4 linked regions of the Schizosaccharomyces pombe genome follow. The protein of the gene in region 2 purifies or fractionates together with the protein of the main gene of each other region. This does not show direct contact. Each region holds a gene or a part of one and is shown on either strand. Other genes may lie near its edges. The genes, in order: pun1, imp1, rpn7 and efg1.

The links.
Region 1: the proteins of imp1 (region 2) and pun1 purify together in Schizosaccharomyces pombe (affinity purification with mass spectrometry, with the first as the bait; one study listed by BioGRID). This does not show direct contact.
Region 3: the proteins of imp1 (region 2) and rpn7 purify together in Schizosaccharomyces pombe (affinity purification with mass spectrometry, with the first as the bait; one study listed by BioGRID). This does not show direct contact.
Region 4: the proteins of imp1 (region 2) and efg1 purify together in Schizosaccharomyces pombe (affinity purification with mass spectrometry, with the first as the bait; one study listed by BioGRID). This does not show direct contact.

The regions. Positions count from the first base shown.
Region 1 is NC_003424.3:3,694,474-3,698,020, reverse strand, and holds pun1 (SUR7 family protein), read left to right. Parts: upstream 1-1,585; 5' UTR 1,586-1,992; coding exon 1,993-2,859; 3' UTR 2,860-3,047; downstream 3,048-3,547. Other genes in the region: mde6 (muskelin), read right to left, coding at 1-226, 269-513; ain1 (alpha-actinin), read right to left, coding at 3,130-3,547. UniProt on the Schizosaccharomyces pombe protein: Contributes to the wild-type cellular response to nitrogen stress through signaling pathways that regulate the expression of genes involved in amino acid biosynthesis. Required for wild-type filamentous growth, cell growth, and cell-cell adhesion.
Region 2 is NC_003423.3:3,914,703-3,919,014, reverse strand, and holds imp1 (importin alpha family nuclear import signal receptor adaptor Imp1), read right to left. Parts: upstream 2,461-4,312; 5' UTR 2,390-2,460; coding exon 770-2,389; 3' UTR 501-769; downstream 1-500. Other genes in the region: F0-ATPase subunit atp4, read left to right, coding at 1-246; exoribonuclease Rex4, read right to left, coding at 3,463-4,212, 4,287-4,312. UniProt on the Schizosaccharomyces pombe protein: Functions as a component of the nuclear pore complex (NPC).
Region 3 is NC_003423.3:429,893-433,358, forward strand, and holds rpn7 (19S proteasome regulatory subunit Rpn7), read right to left. Parts: upstream 1,874-3,466; 5' UTR 1,853-1,873; coding exon 659-1,852; 3' UTR 501-658; downstream 1-500. Other genes in the region: mcp6 (horsetail movement protein Hrs1/Mcp6), read right to left, coding at 1-274; alt1 (putative alanine aminotransferase), read left to right, coding at 2,703-3,120, 3,312-3,466. UniProt on the Schizosaccharomyces pombe protein: Component of the 19S cap proteasome complex which acts as a regulatory subunit of the 26S proteasome, involved in the ATP-dependent degradation of ubiquitinated proteins.
Region 4 is NC_003424.3:344,685-348,426, forward strand, and holds efg1 (rRNA-processing protein), read right to left. Parts: upstream 1,995-3,742; 5' UTR 1,935-1,994; coding exon 1,860-1,934; intron 1,756-1,859; coding exon 1,623-1,755; exon of another isoform or gene 1,561-1,622; coding exon 1,430-1,560; exon of another isoform or gene 1,368-1,429; coding exon 1,155-1,367; 3' UTR 550-1,154; downstream 1-549. Other genes in the region: RNA-binding protein Cip2, read right to left, coding at 1-445; GATOR2-SEACAT complex ubiquitin-protein ligase E3 subunit Sea4, read left to right, coding at 2,511-3,742.

The sequences.
Region 1 (3,547 bases), on a different chromosome or scaffold from region 2:
GGCTGAGTCAATGCCGTGTAAAGCAACATACCATATACTCATGTTAAATTCATGAGCATGAGCTTGAAGTGGAACAATTTTGATATACTTACAAGCAATTGAATTCTCAATTTTGTTATATTTCTTGATACACAATGGAAATGTTTCTCGATTTGAATCATTTGTCAATCCAGCTCTTAATAAAGGGAACATCAAATGCTGTTCACGCCCCCCATATACTATAAAACTTAAAACTGTTAGAGGAAGAAAAAAAAAATAAACCGCTTACTCTTTAAGGTTGCAAAGATGGGGAGTGTGGAATTTCCCAAAGGTGATATCGGTAACCAACGCAAGTTTATCAAGTTTCAGAATTACATACTGTTCTTCAGAGTTGTTGGGTTTACATATTGAAGTATTACAGCTCCATCGGCTGTTAGCCTGGTGTGGATTATCGATAAGTATATTGATAGGATGAAATGCTCCAGAATAGCTGGACCAGCTTTGAATGGTATAAGACAATTCTTTACGTTCCATTTAAAGAATCAATAATTATCTTCGTCTGACCGCTATGAGTCTAGCAACAATGTATGTGTATTGGAGAAATCAGGAAAGCACCTAATGTAAACAAACAAAAGAGGCAGTAATGATCGCTTCCTTAAGGTGCTTTACAGTCTTGGTAAGGGTCTAAACTTAAAAGGGAAATTTCAGTAAACAATTATAATTCATTTTGTAAAAGTTGAAATTGGATCCAGTATTGAACTTAACTTATTGACGAATATGAAGAAAGTAGTTCTGTTCTGCCATTCGATATTACAAAAGAAACTCCAACAGCTCTTTCGCATTTCTCCAGAAAAAAAAATAACTATTTTGTCATTATCTGAGAATTTCGCTCATTTATTTGGCAAATTAAATGAATTCACAAACTACCCAATCTTGCGATGGACCAAACCACTTTCCAAAATTTCAATTGTAACTAGAGCAACACAACCATATTAAGTATAAATTATTGGTTAATTAAGTATCCTCGTCATGAAAGCATGGTAGAAGATAATATGGGAAATCTATATGATGTTAGTTTAAATATTATATCTGATTCATTGACGACGTAAATTCCTCTTCTCTATTATATAATCACGGATCTTTGAGAGTCATTAAACGATTAAATGTTAATATGATAATCATATGATTTCTTTTTTATACAAAAACTATATAAAGCCCAAATTATTGTGTTCGGTATCATGGAACGAATACTAAGAAAAGCAAAGCGCTTATGTTGATTTTTTTACTTGGCTATCTAATGAACGCTTTCTTTTCATATATAATGGGGCTTGAAACTCAAGCTGCGCCTATATGTCAGTAATGTACGACACAGCATGCGCCGCTGAGTTCGTATATCAGAACTGTTTCTTTTGCTGCGAAAGAACTGTAAAATTGCTGTCACTGCATCCTTTTCACACGTATAATAGTCGAGCTTGTTGCAAACATCGAAAACGTCCCGCGTTTGGTTTATTTACATTGATATGACCCGTCTGTTTACACTTGGTTGTCATGACAACTTCGCTTTCTCAAAACATATTTTACTCGTAGCGGGCCCTCCGTGTCAATTGTGGCATTCCAAATTTACAGAAGATTAAGACTTTAAGAGATTGCGCCTCTGATGCGTATAAAAGGTTAAGAAACAATCAGCTACTTGCCTTTACGATTGAAAAAAAAAACCAGTTCTCTCTCTTTTGTTTACTATCCATACTATCTTGTTTACTCAATATCCTCGCGTTAAATCGTATTAATTTCAAAGAAATTCGTTTTACAACAGCGTTTTTGAAGTGTTTCCCTCTATTTTTCAGCCGATTTTTTGTCCTTCTTCTTCCCAGCTTCTTGAAGAATTGTTTATTTCTGGAGACTACATATCAGTTTTCCTTATTAATCGTGATATCTATTATATATAATCATATATATTATTCTTTCTTTTTGTCATCCCAAGCAAATTGGTTTTTGATATAACTGTTTGTCAAAATGGGAATGGGGTTCAATCCTATTAAAGCTTTGTTCACTGGTATTGGTACCGTTTGCGTTGGAGTTGGCGCGCTTTTGTCAATTCTATGCATCATCAATCAAACTCAGCATAACATTGCTTTTCAAAATATTTACTTTATTCAACTGAATACTACATCTATCTTTTCTGTCGCCAATCAAACTGCTGTTGTCAATAATACAAGCAACCTACTTAACGAGCTTACTGGAACACTGGTAGACACGCTCGAAACATATATTGATCAAGGTGCTACTGATTTAATCGAACAAGTTGAGCAGGAGATGAAGGACGTGTCTGAACTCCCGGACTGGTACTCCATTGGTCTTTGGAATTATTGTCAGGGAAATTCGTCTGATTATACAAATCCTACTTATTGTAGTACTCCTTCTCCTAGTTATTACTTCAACCCCCTTACAATGCTGGAAACCAGTATTAATAATGCAACTGGTAGCCAAATTAACATCACTTTACCTTCCGAGGTGGATTTAGGATTAAAAGTGCTTAAAGGGGCATGTTATGCTATGCGAGCCATGTATATTCTTGGATTTATTTTCTTTGCTCTGACAATAGTTTCAATCGTTATTTCTTGCCTTCCATTTTTTGGTCCCCTCTTTCTCAACGTCTTCTCATTCTTTGCAACTATTTTTACTTTTATCGCTGCAGTTATCGCAGTTGCAACTTATCGTATTGCAATTTCTGAATTGGAAAAAAATATCGAAATTCTTAACATTCCAATCGTTTTAGGAAAGAAAATTTATGCTTATTCATTCCTTTCAGCAGCTGCTGGCTTAGCTGCTTGTATTCTATATTTTATTGGAAATCTTACATCCGGATACAGTCCACTTTAAGTTGTATCGTCCGTTATTTATTGCCCATTATTTGTTAAAAATTAGCATGTTGTTTTATTTTCCCTTCTTTTTGTATTGATGTCAAGTTTCCTTTTTCTTTCATTTTTATGTTAGTTAGCATTGAGATTTGTTTTTCTTCAGATAGTTACTGTATTTAAAAATATACTTTTCTTTGACCCTTGTAACGTATATATATTGTTATTCAAGTATACTAAATTTTCATCCAAATAATGTTCATTAAGTTTATCAAGTGATTCAAAATGCTCCGTTTTAAACTATTTCTTTGTCTTCGGCCAGTAATTGTTTAATCCATGTAAGATAATCCAGTCCTTCTGAATGTTTGTTCATGTTGCATTCTAAAAACTTTACTATATTAGGACGAACCTGACTCCTCAATAGATCATCGGACGTGACATAAGATTTTCCGTCTGCAACATCACAAAACGCATATAAAACTTGACGAGCACTATCACGATCCTCTAATTCTTCCATCACGATTTCTGTAAAACGCTCATAAGTAACACCCTCTTCCGAGTTAGCAGCCCTGTGAAACAAAGCAGTTCCTTCTTCGGTATCATAAACCAAGCCCAATGAGGCCAATGCGGCATAAAACTCGACCTCATTTAACATATTTGATTTTTTCTTTTCAAAATGGCGAAAGACTTTAGTAATTCCGTCTAGTTCTTGT
Region 2 (4,312 bases):
AAAGAAACTGCCCGTATGGAGGCTGAGATCTTTGAGCTCGAACAGCGAGTTGCTTTAGCTAAAGAAGCTAAATCAGTGTTGGATAGCTGGGTTCATCACGAAGCCAACGTTCGCGCTGAACAACAGGAACGTCTCGTTGAAGATGTCTTGGCTCGTGTCAACAGCAAAGTTTCTACCCAAAAGTTCCAACAGGATGCTCTCAATGAAAGTCTCGGTGAAATCGAAAAGGTCTTAGCTAGTGCCTAAATTGTTTTTTCGAGGGACATAATACGATAAGACAGCTGCAGTTTTTTTCAGTCATATTTGATTTGCATATATGCTTATTAGCAAAAATTTGCGTCATTATTGGTTTTCAAATTGCATTCACCGATTAGTCGAAGTCATTTGAACCTAACAGTGTATATCGTCCCCGCTGCTTTCTTTTATTTTTATTTTCTTTGATCCTAAACCCCCTTCTCTATTTTGCCTAGTTGCAGCTCTTACGAATATAAACATTTTTAGTGATATCATGCTATTTACCTGTACCGCTCTGTTTTAGTAGTACACTCATTTTTTTCGTAAACATATTATTTAACCGTAGTTTTTAATCCTAATAGAAATACTTAGCTTCACAAATAGCTAAATTGAATTAAAAATAGAGGGTAAAAAAAAGAAATACAAACCCAACAAAAGCACCAGTAATGGAAAACAGAATTTGTCTAAGTGAAACATGTAAATAATGTGCGCTTCGATTAGAACAAAAAAAATTTTTTTAAAATTAATTTAAACGTTACATAGCCATATCTTGAGAATCAAATTTAAATTCTCCTTGAGCTTGAGGGCCATTGCCAAATGTGAAGGCGCCATTTTCGGTTTCAGGTGCCAAATCTTCAACTGCGTCCTCGTCACTGAAATACTTTTCAATGATGCTATACGCTTTCAAATAAATATCGTTATTTCCGGAGGATTGCAAATCATGGATCATATCCATACCGCCAGCTTCCTCAACGTAGACAGCGTATTGATTAATGTTTTCAAGATCCATAGTTCTGTCCATCTCACCAACTTTAAGTATGTTTTCAATGGCATCGAGAGCAACTTGAATAATTTTATTATCGGATCCGTTCAACATATCGCAAAGTGGCTTAATAACGCCTTGTGACACAAGGTAACGAATTTGGTCAGGCTGACCGAGACCGCCAGAAGTAGCATTAGAAATAGCCCAACAGGCTTCTTTTTTTGTTTTGTAGTCGGCATATGAGAGTAAATGGACCAATGGAGGTATAAGATTACTTTCAATAATTGCTTGGATTTGTTGGGTATTGCCAGCAGTAATATTGCTAATAGTCCAACAAGCTTCCTTACGAATGTTCTCTTTTTGATGACTGAGAAGACTAGGGAATGCATTGAGAGCACCGCAATCGATTATGATCTGTGTTTGCGCGTCAGTACCTGTTACTATATTCCCCACAGAGCGAAGGGCAGGAGTTTGAATATTAACGCTGGGAGAGCTCAAAAGTTCAACAAGCCTGGGCGCACATCCAACGTCTAAAATGGCGCCAATTTTTTCGTTAGGTCCATCAGAAAGATAGGAGATGGCCCAGCACGCGTCAACAATAATCTCAACGTCTTCAGAATAAAGGAGCTTAGCAAGGATTGGAACGGCTACAGAAATAGTTGACCAGTTAGGTGGTGGATTTTTGCCTCTACACAAGTTAGAAAGTGTCCATGTAGCGTTACGGAGCATAGAAACATCAGAAGCGCTACTCTGAAGAATATTAAGTAAAGGCTGTAAAACTCCGTTACCGAGTACATAGTCACGGCAGGCAGAAGAATCGCCAGCTATGTTACCGAGGGCCCATACAACCTGCTCACGGACATCTTTTTCAGGTGAAGAAAGTAATTGAATAAAACGAGGAACAGCGCCGGAATCAACAACAATACGGGTTTGATCTGTGGTACCACTAGCGATATTTGTTAAGGCCCAAGCCGCTTCAAATTGAAGCAAGTGATGTTCACTTTCTAAAAATTGTACGAACCGGTCAACAACACCACAAGCAATTACCTGATCAATAGGGGGATGCGTCTCCTTAGAAAGATATTTCCTGAATTTCGTGACGGCACCTAATTGTAGCTCAATGTCGTCTGACATCACATCAGCTGTCAATTTAGGAAATTCATCTTTCATTTGTTGCTCCATTTGAACCTGAGACTGATCAGCCTCCTCTTCCACATCAATGTCATTTTGTAAAACAGCGTTTAAATTCCTTCGTTTATTCAAACTTTCCTCACGTTTTTGTTTGCGGATTTCAATTTGCTGTTCTTCACGTTGCCGACGAAGTTCATCAGCTTTGAAAACACCTTTGCTTTTAAAACGGCTTCTTCTATCTGATAAATATCTCGATTCCATTTCTATAGGAATAAACTTTTTTGATATCCTTTTTACTCTTTTTTTTTTAGTTATCTAAGACAGTTGTGGTTGCTGCGAGTTTAATGAGAATAAGGAGGTAAAAGAGCACTTGTGTCGTTCCAAGAAGCAGCCGGCACCCAGGTAACAATGTTCAAAAATAATAAATTTAGAATAATTTGAAATATATCATTTTCCGGTTCAAATCGTTGAAACTTTCTAGATCATTTTTGTTCTGTCATTGGAAACCTTCGCACCATAAAACGGGTAAAACAACATGCTTATTGAGCTCATCAACCAATTTTTCTTGGGTTTTTAACAAGCTGAATGCTATAACAAGAATTCAAAATTTAAAAACAAATGGAATTTTTCTTTAAACAACCTGTCAAGTTGGCCTATTTTTATTTTTATTTTGATTATATAATACATATAGTTGAGCAATTTAATCTTTGAATAAATACTTATTTTTCAAACACTTCCGTATCTGTTTTGTAAGCTATTAATATGTATACATTAATGGTCCATTGTCTAACTAGAATTTATTTGGTAGCTATTATTAATATATATATTTTTTATTTTTTTTGTGATAATAAAGATTAATTCGGTATTTATATAAATTTAGGAATTAACTTAACGGCGCTTGAAAACATATTATCGTCATTCAGTTAAAATGCTCTAAATCATATACACTATAGGAAGTAATCTAATTATATAACATTAACTTTATTAATTCACAAAGTAATTATGAAGACCATATAAACGAAGCTGATAAATCTCTATATCCTTGTTTTTTCCATACATTATTTCTTTCCTTCAGTTGTATGCATCATTTATTTATACTAAAAATTATTAATAGATTGACTATTTAAAACCAGAAACGAAGGAAACAGAAGAGATAAATAAAGAAAGAAAACCAACGATTTCATAAGAGCCAATGAAAACAATATTGCTGTTATAAGCAACCGAAAATATATTTAACATCTGACACATATCCAGTAAAATTATAAGAAACATTTTCTTGCATATTATTAAACCCAAATCCCAAATGACCAGAACGAAGTCTAGTGATTCAAAGCTTATGACTTTGACAAACCTTTGAATGCAACTTCATCCATTTCTTTTTTTACTTTCTTATATAATTCCATCGTTGCTTGGGCATCCTGGACGGAAGAATGCTGTCCAGATTGAATGTCACGCCCAAGAATCACTTCAGCAAGTTTTTTAAGCCCTGGTGTCCTTCCCTTGGCTAATTTCCGATACCCAGAAAATCTGCTGGTATCACGAATCATTCTTCTTGGATGCGATAAAAGTAGTACTTTGAGATCGTTATGGACAGCATGTCCAACCAATACTCGATTGTCGAGTATCTTAGCAACTTCTGCTTGTACTTTTTCAAATGAAGGTGCATCCCGCATGTGAAATGACTTGACACCACTGACCCATGTTCTCCAATCCGTAACCTTTTCTTTAGGACGGACATAAGTATCATACACGACATGACCATGATAATTAACTATACTGACGCGTGCAAGAACTGACATGTCATCTGCCACCCCAACCATTTCACAATCCATTGCAATATATTTCCCCAATGTTTCCAAATTGGTTTTTCTGGTAAGCTTGGAAGCATCCACGCCATATGCGTCAAGGACTTGAGATTCAGGGATATCATTTTCCTTAGCAAATTTCTTTAATTCATTCATGCGTTTTTTATCGACGATATAAGAATTCTCATTCTCATTGTTTTTACCTTTCACACTTTTAAGGTATTTCTTTTCATTAGAATGCTTTTTTTCAACCCGTCCACTCTTAGCGCTGTCGAGTTTCTAAACAACCAATACCGTTAGTATACTTAAACAAGAATCTTAAATGACTTAATGGAAACTATAGCCTTTCATACCTTCTTTAACTTTTCCCAATTGGAAG
Region 3 (3,466 bases), 3.5 Mb from region 2:
CCCGTTCCTGCTCTCCTATCTTACTTTCCAAACTTTCGATTTGTAGCGTACGTTGAGTAGAATCGCGCTCAAAAGCATCAATTATTTCTTTAGCAGTCATTTGTAGCTTCTGAAATTGAATTGTTTTATCTGAGACATTCTTTTCATAATCATCAAAATACTGAAAACTCTTCTGCTTAATAGACTTCATCTCGCTAACACTTTGAACAGGCGATGAAGCTATGAAAGTCGAATCTTCAGCCGAGGCGAGAGAAGCCTCTTCTTGATATTCCATATTAAATCAATCTGTTAATCTCTTAACCTTGTATTGTTTCAAATCTTTTCGCTACGAATTAGTGTCACTAACATACGAAATGTTGTTGGTAAATGGAACGCGTCGCAGGCTCATCAAACAACATTGTATTTACGAGTGAAGAAACATTTGAGATATACGTAAACACCACCAAAAATTGCACAACTATCTATTTAGTCCCTAATAATAGTTGAATAAAGATTCGTATGCTTTAATCATTTCTACATTTCGTTTACAAATAATGTTCATGGCACCAAAACTTAATACCGTTTCATATTATTACTTTTCAAATGTTTAAACCAGACAATATAGATAAACGATACATGCATTGAACCATATTTCATTAAACGTAGGCACTGAGTTAAATTATACCTTAAAGGCACCACGCATAACAGTGGCTTGGTATTTTTGGAGTTTGTTAAGTAAAACATCACCCTGCTTAACAACCTCTTGGTATTGACGGTTTTTTTCATCAGGACGGTTTGTAAATACAACACCGTTGACTCGATCAATTACACAGTTCAACTTGTTGTCTGGGATAAATGACGCCAAATCGCGATCGATATAATCAACAGATACGCCAAAGGAAGCGGCCATGGAATCGATACTGAGAGCACGGTAAGATTCAAGTAACTGGGCGTAAGCACGTCTTCTCATTTCACGCACATAGTATCTATAATGGGCGACAAGAAATTGATCACATTTAAGATGATTAACTTCAACATCGGCCAAGGTTCGAAAAAATCCGGAATAGTCACATAAGTACAAGCTGTTGATACATGCTTCCAAACTAGACATTGATTCATTTTGAGGTAGCACGGCAAGCACTTCAGGTGAATCAACGATTTTGGTCTTGACATCAACACGATCTAAAGAAATTGCACCAGAAATCACGGCATATCGAACGACGTCGTAATATGGAAGTAGTTCGGTGGAAGAGAAAGTTGACATACAATCCAAGAGAAGGTCGGCGGCACCAGAAAAATTACGGATTGACATCAAATATATGCCTTGGTAGGCCTTTAATCGATTTTTCCTCTCCCAATCACCTCCCTTTTCAATAAGTGGCTTTAATTTTTCCAATAATTGACCAACGACCCTCATATCAGCATACACGTATGCCAAACGGATTTTGGAAAAAAGAACATCAATCTTCATTCCGGTCAATGTTGCTCGTTCAAAAGTTTCATCGCATAACTGTACACCACGTTCTCTATCGCATATATTCGTATAATAATCAGCTTTGTTTTTCATGGCTTCTAAAATTTCATGTTCTCCATTAAGTTCTTGGGCATCTTCGATCGCTTTGTCAAACTCTGCTAACTTTTCTTCATTTTTCTTTATCATACTATTTAAAAAATTACTATCAAAATCAATACTTGCCGATGTTTTAGGGTTCTCTGAAAGATATTTATAAAGTGGAGCTAAATCATGATCACGAATGGCAGAAAAAAGCGTATCCAAAGCCTTTTGGCTCTTATTCTCAAGGAATGGCGAGGAAAGCTCGAAAATCGCTTGCGAAATGGTCAAATCTGATACGGTTCTTGCCTTTTCTGTCATGGTGCGGTGTGTGAGTGTTGCAGAGGGAGAACACATATCAACAGCTAACTAAACTACATATTGTACATTTCACTCATCTAAAAGTTAGTAAAATGTTAATTTTTTGTAGTTTATTTAAATTTCAAATATAAATTTAATTCAAACAACTAAAGAGAAAAAGTTCTTTTTCTACTTTTCAACTTCCACTGTTCCTTATGTTCTAGTAACATGTTTTAATTAAATTTTATTAGAAACGAATCTTAAAACTCGTAAATTTTATTCTTTTCAATTCTTTTTTGTGAAATATGCCATTCTGAAAAGTCAAGTGCTTGAACATTCCATCAGTCTTCTCGAAACTTGTAAATCGTTAAATTAATTTAATTAACCAAATTCTATAAGACAAAAAAGTTAAGCAAATAAGCAAGCATCTCTTCTATACCTCTGTTTTTACATCGTTCTAATTTTTTGGTTTACACGACATGTAGCATAGGTTGGGGCTTACTAAAGGAATTCAAATAATTTTTCGCATTGAATATTGCTTACTTAATATATATAAAACAAACAAAAATGGTTTATTAGAATATCATATTTAAGCCTGTATAATCCGGTTAATGGAAAATAAAAATATAAAAATAACGGAAACGTTGTCATTCACTGAGTATTTTTTAGGAGCTATTTTTTCTCTGTTCATTATGCTAAGTTAGTGAAAAAATTAGTATATGTAATATAAGTGAATACAGTGAGCGGTTGATAAGTATCTCCAAATAAAATACAGTAGAAAGAGTGAAGTACATAATATCAAATAACGATTATCTACTTTATATTTATGTTTACAGATTATCCAAATGATATTAACTGTGAGTCTCCAAGAATGTCGGACCTTGATGGATTTTGTCAAAATGCGTTCTCAGACCTTAATTCTTTGAATCAACAAGTATTTAAGGCAAATTACGCCGTCCGTGGAGCTTTAGCCATTCTTGCGGACGAGATCCAAGATGATTTACTTGAAAATCCTTCTTCATATCCTTTCAGTGAGATCGTCTATGCAAACATCGGTAATCCTCAGCAGATGGGACAGTCTCCTATTACATTCGTTCGACAGGTTTTATCTCTTTGCCAGTACCCTACCTTGTTAGACCATGCTGAGGAAAAGTGGTTTCAAAATTTGTTCCCTACGGATGTCGTACAACGATCCAAAATGCTCTTAAAGGAATCTGGAAGTTTGGGTGCCTATAGTGCTTCTCAAGGTATTCCGCTTGTAAGGCGACATGTTGCGGATTTCATTAGAGGTAAGCATTTTAAGAAGAAAGAGTGAAGATCGTCGGACACAGAGACAATTCGCAGACTGTATTAAGAAATTTAGCAAAAATACTGCAACCCATTAAAGCTGCTAGGGTCTTGCTCGATAAAAAATGATTTTAGACTCCGCCATTCATTCTTTTTTCTTTTTATCTTTACACATTTTCTAATTATATTTTAGCGAGAGATGGATTTGATTGCGAGCCATCTGACATATATTTGACTAGTGGTGCCTCACACGCTGCCCGGCTTATAATGACTTTGATAATCGCTAGGCCAACAGATGGTGTAATGGTTCCCGCTCCTCAATATCCTTTGTACGGTGCCCAAATTGAT
Region 4 (3,742 bases), on a different chromosome or scaffold from region 2:
TCCAAGCAGTTTGAAGACGAGTTCGACGAGGCTTTGCAGATGGATTATTGGCAGTTGAAATTTCAGGATCCAGCATTTGTTTAAGGGAACTTGGTAAAACCGTAGAAGAACCATCACCCAAACCATCATCTGCATTGTTGTGGGAAAATATGCCAGACCCTCCCATTCCAGCACTGTTAACGGCTGCATCAGAAAACGTAAACTTATCACGACCATATCGGTTCTCGAGATATCCTGATCCTCCAGGAATATTAAGACCTCTCATTTCTTCATCTTGAGCTCCATTTAATTCATCTAATTTGGGGAAAAAGTTGGACCGTTTTCTACGCAGAGATGCAGCCTCAGAATGGAAAGTTAAAGGGGAAGAAGCAGGAGAAAGAGTATTAGTTGACAAAAATGCCTGCGACAAAGGCGTTAATGGCCTTTGGCTTGTGCCCTCAGCCATATCGACACTAAACAAGTCGTAACTTCGTGTGGTGCGGAGGTTAGGTATCCGTGGACACCACCAAGGGCGCAAAGTCAATATACTACACCATATTATTGAGGTCTTAAACCCATAAATTCAAATATACCAATCTATAGAAGCAAATGTAAAAATAATTATTATAAAATGTATATACTACATACTGGTGTTGATTTTTAAACCCCCACTAGGTAACTTTTTGCCAGGCAAATAACAGGGTACTGTGATGATAAAACCGAAAGTCCATCTAAGAGCTCTTAAAAACACTGCTGCAATGATAAAGACTATTAAACTGTCTAATAATTCGACCACCTAAAACAGAACAAAATGAAAGTCCTAATTTTTTGTTTTTACTTAAATTCTTGTAAATTTATATTTTTATTAATTTGATATTCCATGAAATATCATTCGAATTTTAGCATATTAGATTATAGAATGAAATATGTGAAAAATATCTTCAGTGAACCTTAGGATCCAAAAGCTTCTCTCCCACAAGTTCTATTTTTGGTACCCTAGCAAATCCCATTGCAATATGACATAGAAAAAATTTAAATAAACTTGCATAAAAAGAATACCTTGCTCGATAACTCATATGGAAACTTCACAACCTTTATTAAAAAGAATGAATCATATTATTACAGTTTCGTCTATTTAATCCCTTTATTTCCAAAACCTCAATCCAAGTTTTCATTTATCTTTGCAAAAATTCATCTTCCAAATCACCACCAGTTGAACTTTTTTCCTGTACAGGAACCCTGTTGGAACCTGAAGATGGTATTTTGTGTTTTCTGCCACTATTAAAGCGTTCTTCCATCTCGGCCCAAATGCGATTTCGAGTTTCTTCGGTCTGTTCAGATGTGCCTTCTGCGTAGAGTGAAACATACTTTGTTAAAGGGGGGTATTCCTAAATAGGTTAGTATCTTAGCCAAGTTGATAGTTGAAATGAAGTCGAAAATACAAACATACTTTAATATACATAAGATCAATTTGACATTTACGCATCGATTTCTCACACTGCTTGCGTTTCTCATCATCCATAGTTTCATCCTTCAAAGATTTTTCCAATTGTTTAATACGTCGTTCTGCTTTTTTACGTTCTGAGAAAATCAGTAAGCAAGTTCACTGAACAAAAAATGCTGTTTTTATATATGTTTCATACCAAAAAATCGAACTTTTTTGTATCTTTCAAAAATCTTTTGCTTTTTATGCTCTAACTGTGCCATAGACAACTGCTCTTGTAGACCCAAAAGAGCTCGTTCATGTTCAACACGAATGTTTGCAGGCAAATTCTCCTTAAAGGAAGTTAGTTTTCTTATTCATTAACATAAAAAGGAAGGTAATATTTATTACACACTGAAACCGCAGATGTTTTTAAACCAGCAAAAAAATTACACACCTTTTTCAATAATCTCTCATTGTCGCGAATTTTTTTCTTCAGCACAGAAAGTCCAGGGCCCTTAAATTTTGGCATGCTAAAACGCTCAATAAAATAGATAAATAGAAATTCAAACCATAAACAATTAGTTCTGGTGAAGAACAGTAGTAAACTTAAAGGACTGCAATTTTTACAGCTGCTAGGTTCTCAAGTGACACGTTACTTTTATATATAAGTTTAAGCTGGTAATTATGATTAAAATATTTGATTCACTCACACTTATTCAAGGTAGATTTATATGTTGTACTTGTGGAGTGATTTAAAAGCTTAGACTTTCAACAGTACATCAAAGAATCGCTTGTTCGACACCGAAGTCACCCTAGAGATTAAAAAGTATGCAAAAGATAGTTAATCTAGCAACCGGTCTGTATTTTAATACTACTATTGTTAAGAGAATCATCAATAGCAAAAAGAAAACCTTTGAATTTGACAGCCTCTTTTCAGTCCGTTGTTAAGGCATTTCTGTTAGCTATCGTTAAGCAAATTAGTGCTAAACGTTATGTTTGACGAGTGGTTGAGATTGAAGAACGCTTCGATCAAGCTCTGTTTAATGTTTATGCAGTATTTTGGGCGTTTCTGGTAAAGCCTAATTGTCAAATTTCTCTTTAGAGAATGTTAAATAGAAGTAAAAAGAGGAATGGCTGTTATTTTTGGGTTAACGGCTCCTCAGATGAGATTCGATATGTCGCCGTCAAAGCTTCCCCTAAAGTAAATTGGAAAACTCACATTATTTGGAGATCATTGAAAAATGTTAAATGTATAGACTCTTTTCACGGAAACAATGAAATATTGGGTGCTGGTTCTTCTACCGGAAATATATCATTGCTTTCTGTTAAGCATCCAGAATTTCAAGCAGTAGTAACACCTGGATATGCTCGCCCTTGCAATAGTTTGGCATTTTCTGAAACTGAACATCTTGTTGCTGGATTTGCAAAATCTCGAAACGAGTCTTCCTTGAAGTTATGGGACTTGAATTCATTACTGTCTGACCCGAAGAGTAGTCCCTTAATGCAGTCTTCTACTCTAGACGGAGTTTCTTCCGTTTGTTATAAGAAAGACACTCCTCTTTTGCTTACCGGATCAACTTCGCGTTCTGTCCATATAATTGATACTAGGCAGCAACTAGACTCAGTTTCTTCCGTCAATACGCAATATTATAGTAATATAGTTGTTGATCCATTTTCTCCTAACTATTTTGCCGCAAATTCTTATGATGGTGACATTGCGATTTTTGATACTCGATACTTCAAATCCGATAATTATTTACAAATTATTTTACGGAACGAAAATAAAAAGCCCAAAAATCCACAATTATTTGCACTGAAATATTCTGAATGGAAACCTGGACAATTGGCTGTTTTGTCAAACAATTCGATTACACTTCGTCAATTATTGCCTTGTGTCAATGGAAATGAAGGATCCGCAAATAATTCTGTCTTTGTAAATTATGAGAAGAAATATCCTGTTAAACCAAATTCACAATGTTCTGGCATTGATTTTTTTACTCCTTCTACAGCCTTTCCAACTCATGTTCAAATTTTGGGTGTCATAAACGAACAACCGAAACTTTTTTCTGTCCATGATGAGGTCATTCCCTTTTCATTTAACCCTTATAATGATTTGATATTTTCCTTCAAAGAAAAACTGTATCCTTTAAACTCTTCACCATTTAACACACTTTCTGATGTCCCACAATTTGATGTCAGCGAATTTGTCGATGAAAACTCTTTCGATTCCTCGTCTTCTTGTTCCTCCAAAGTCTTTCTAACGACAAGAAACAACTCAATCAATTCAGAGGATTCCGCTCATGAAGTATTGCTTTCCTATAACCGCGTCCTTGGATC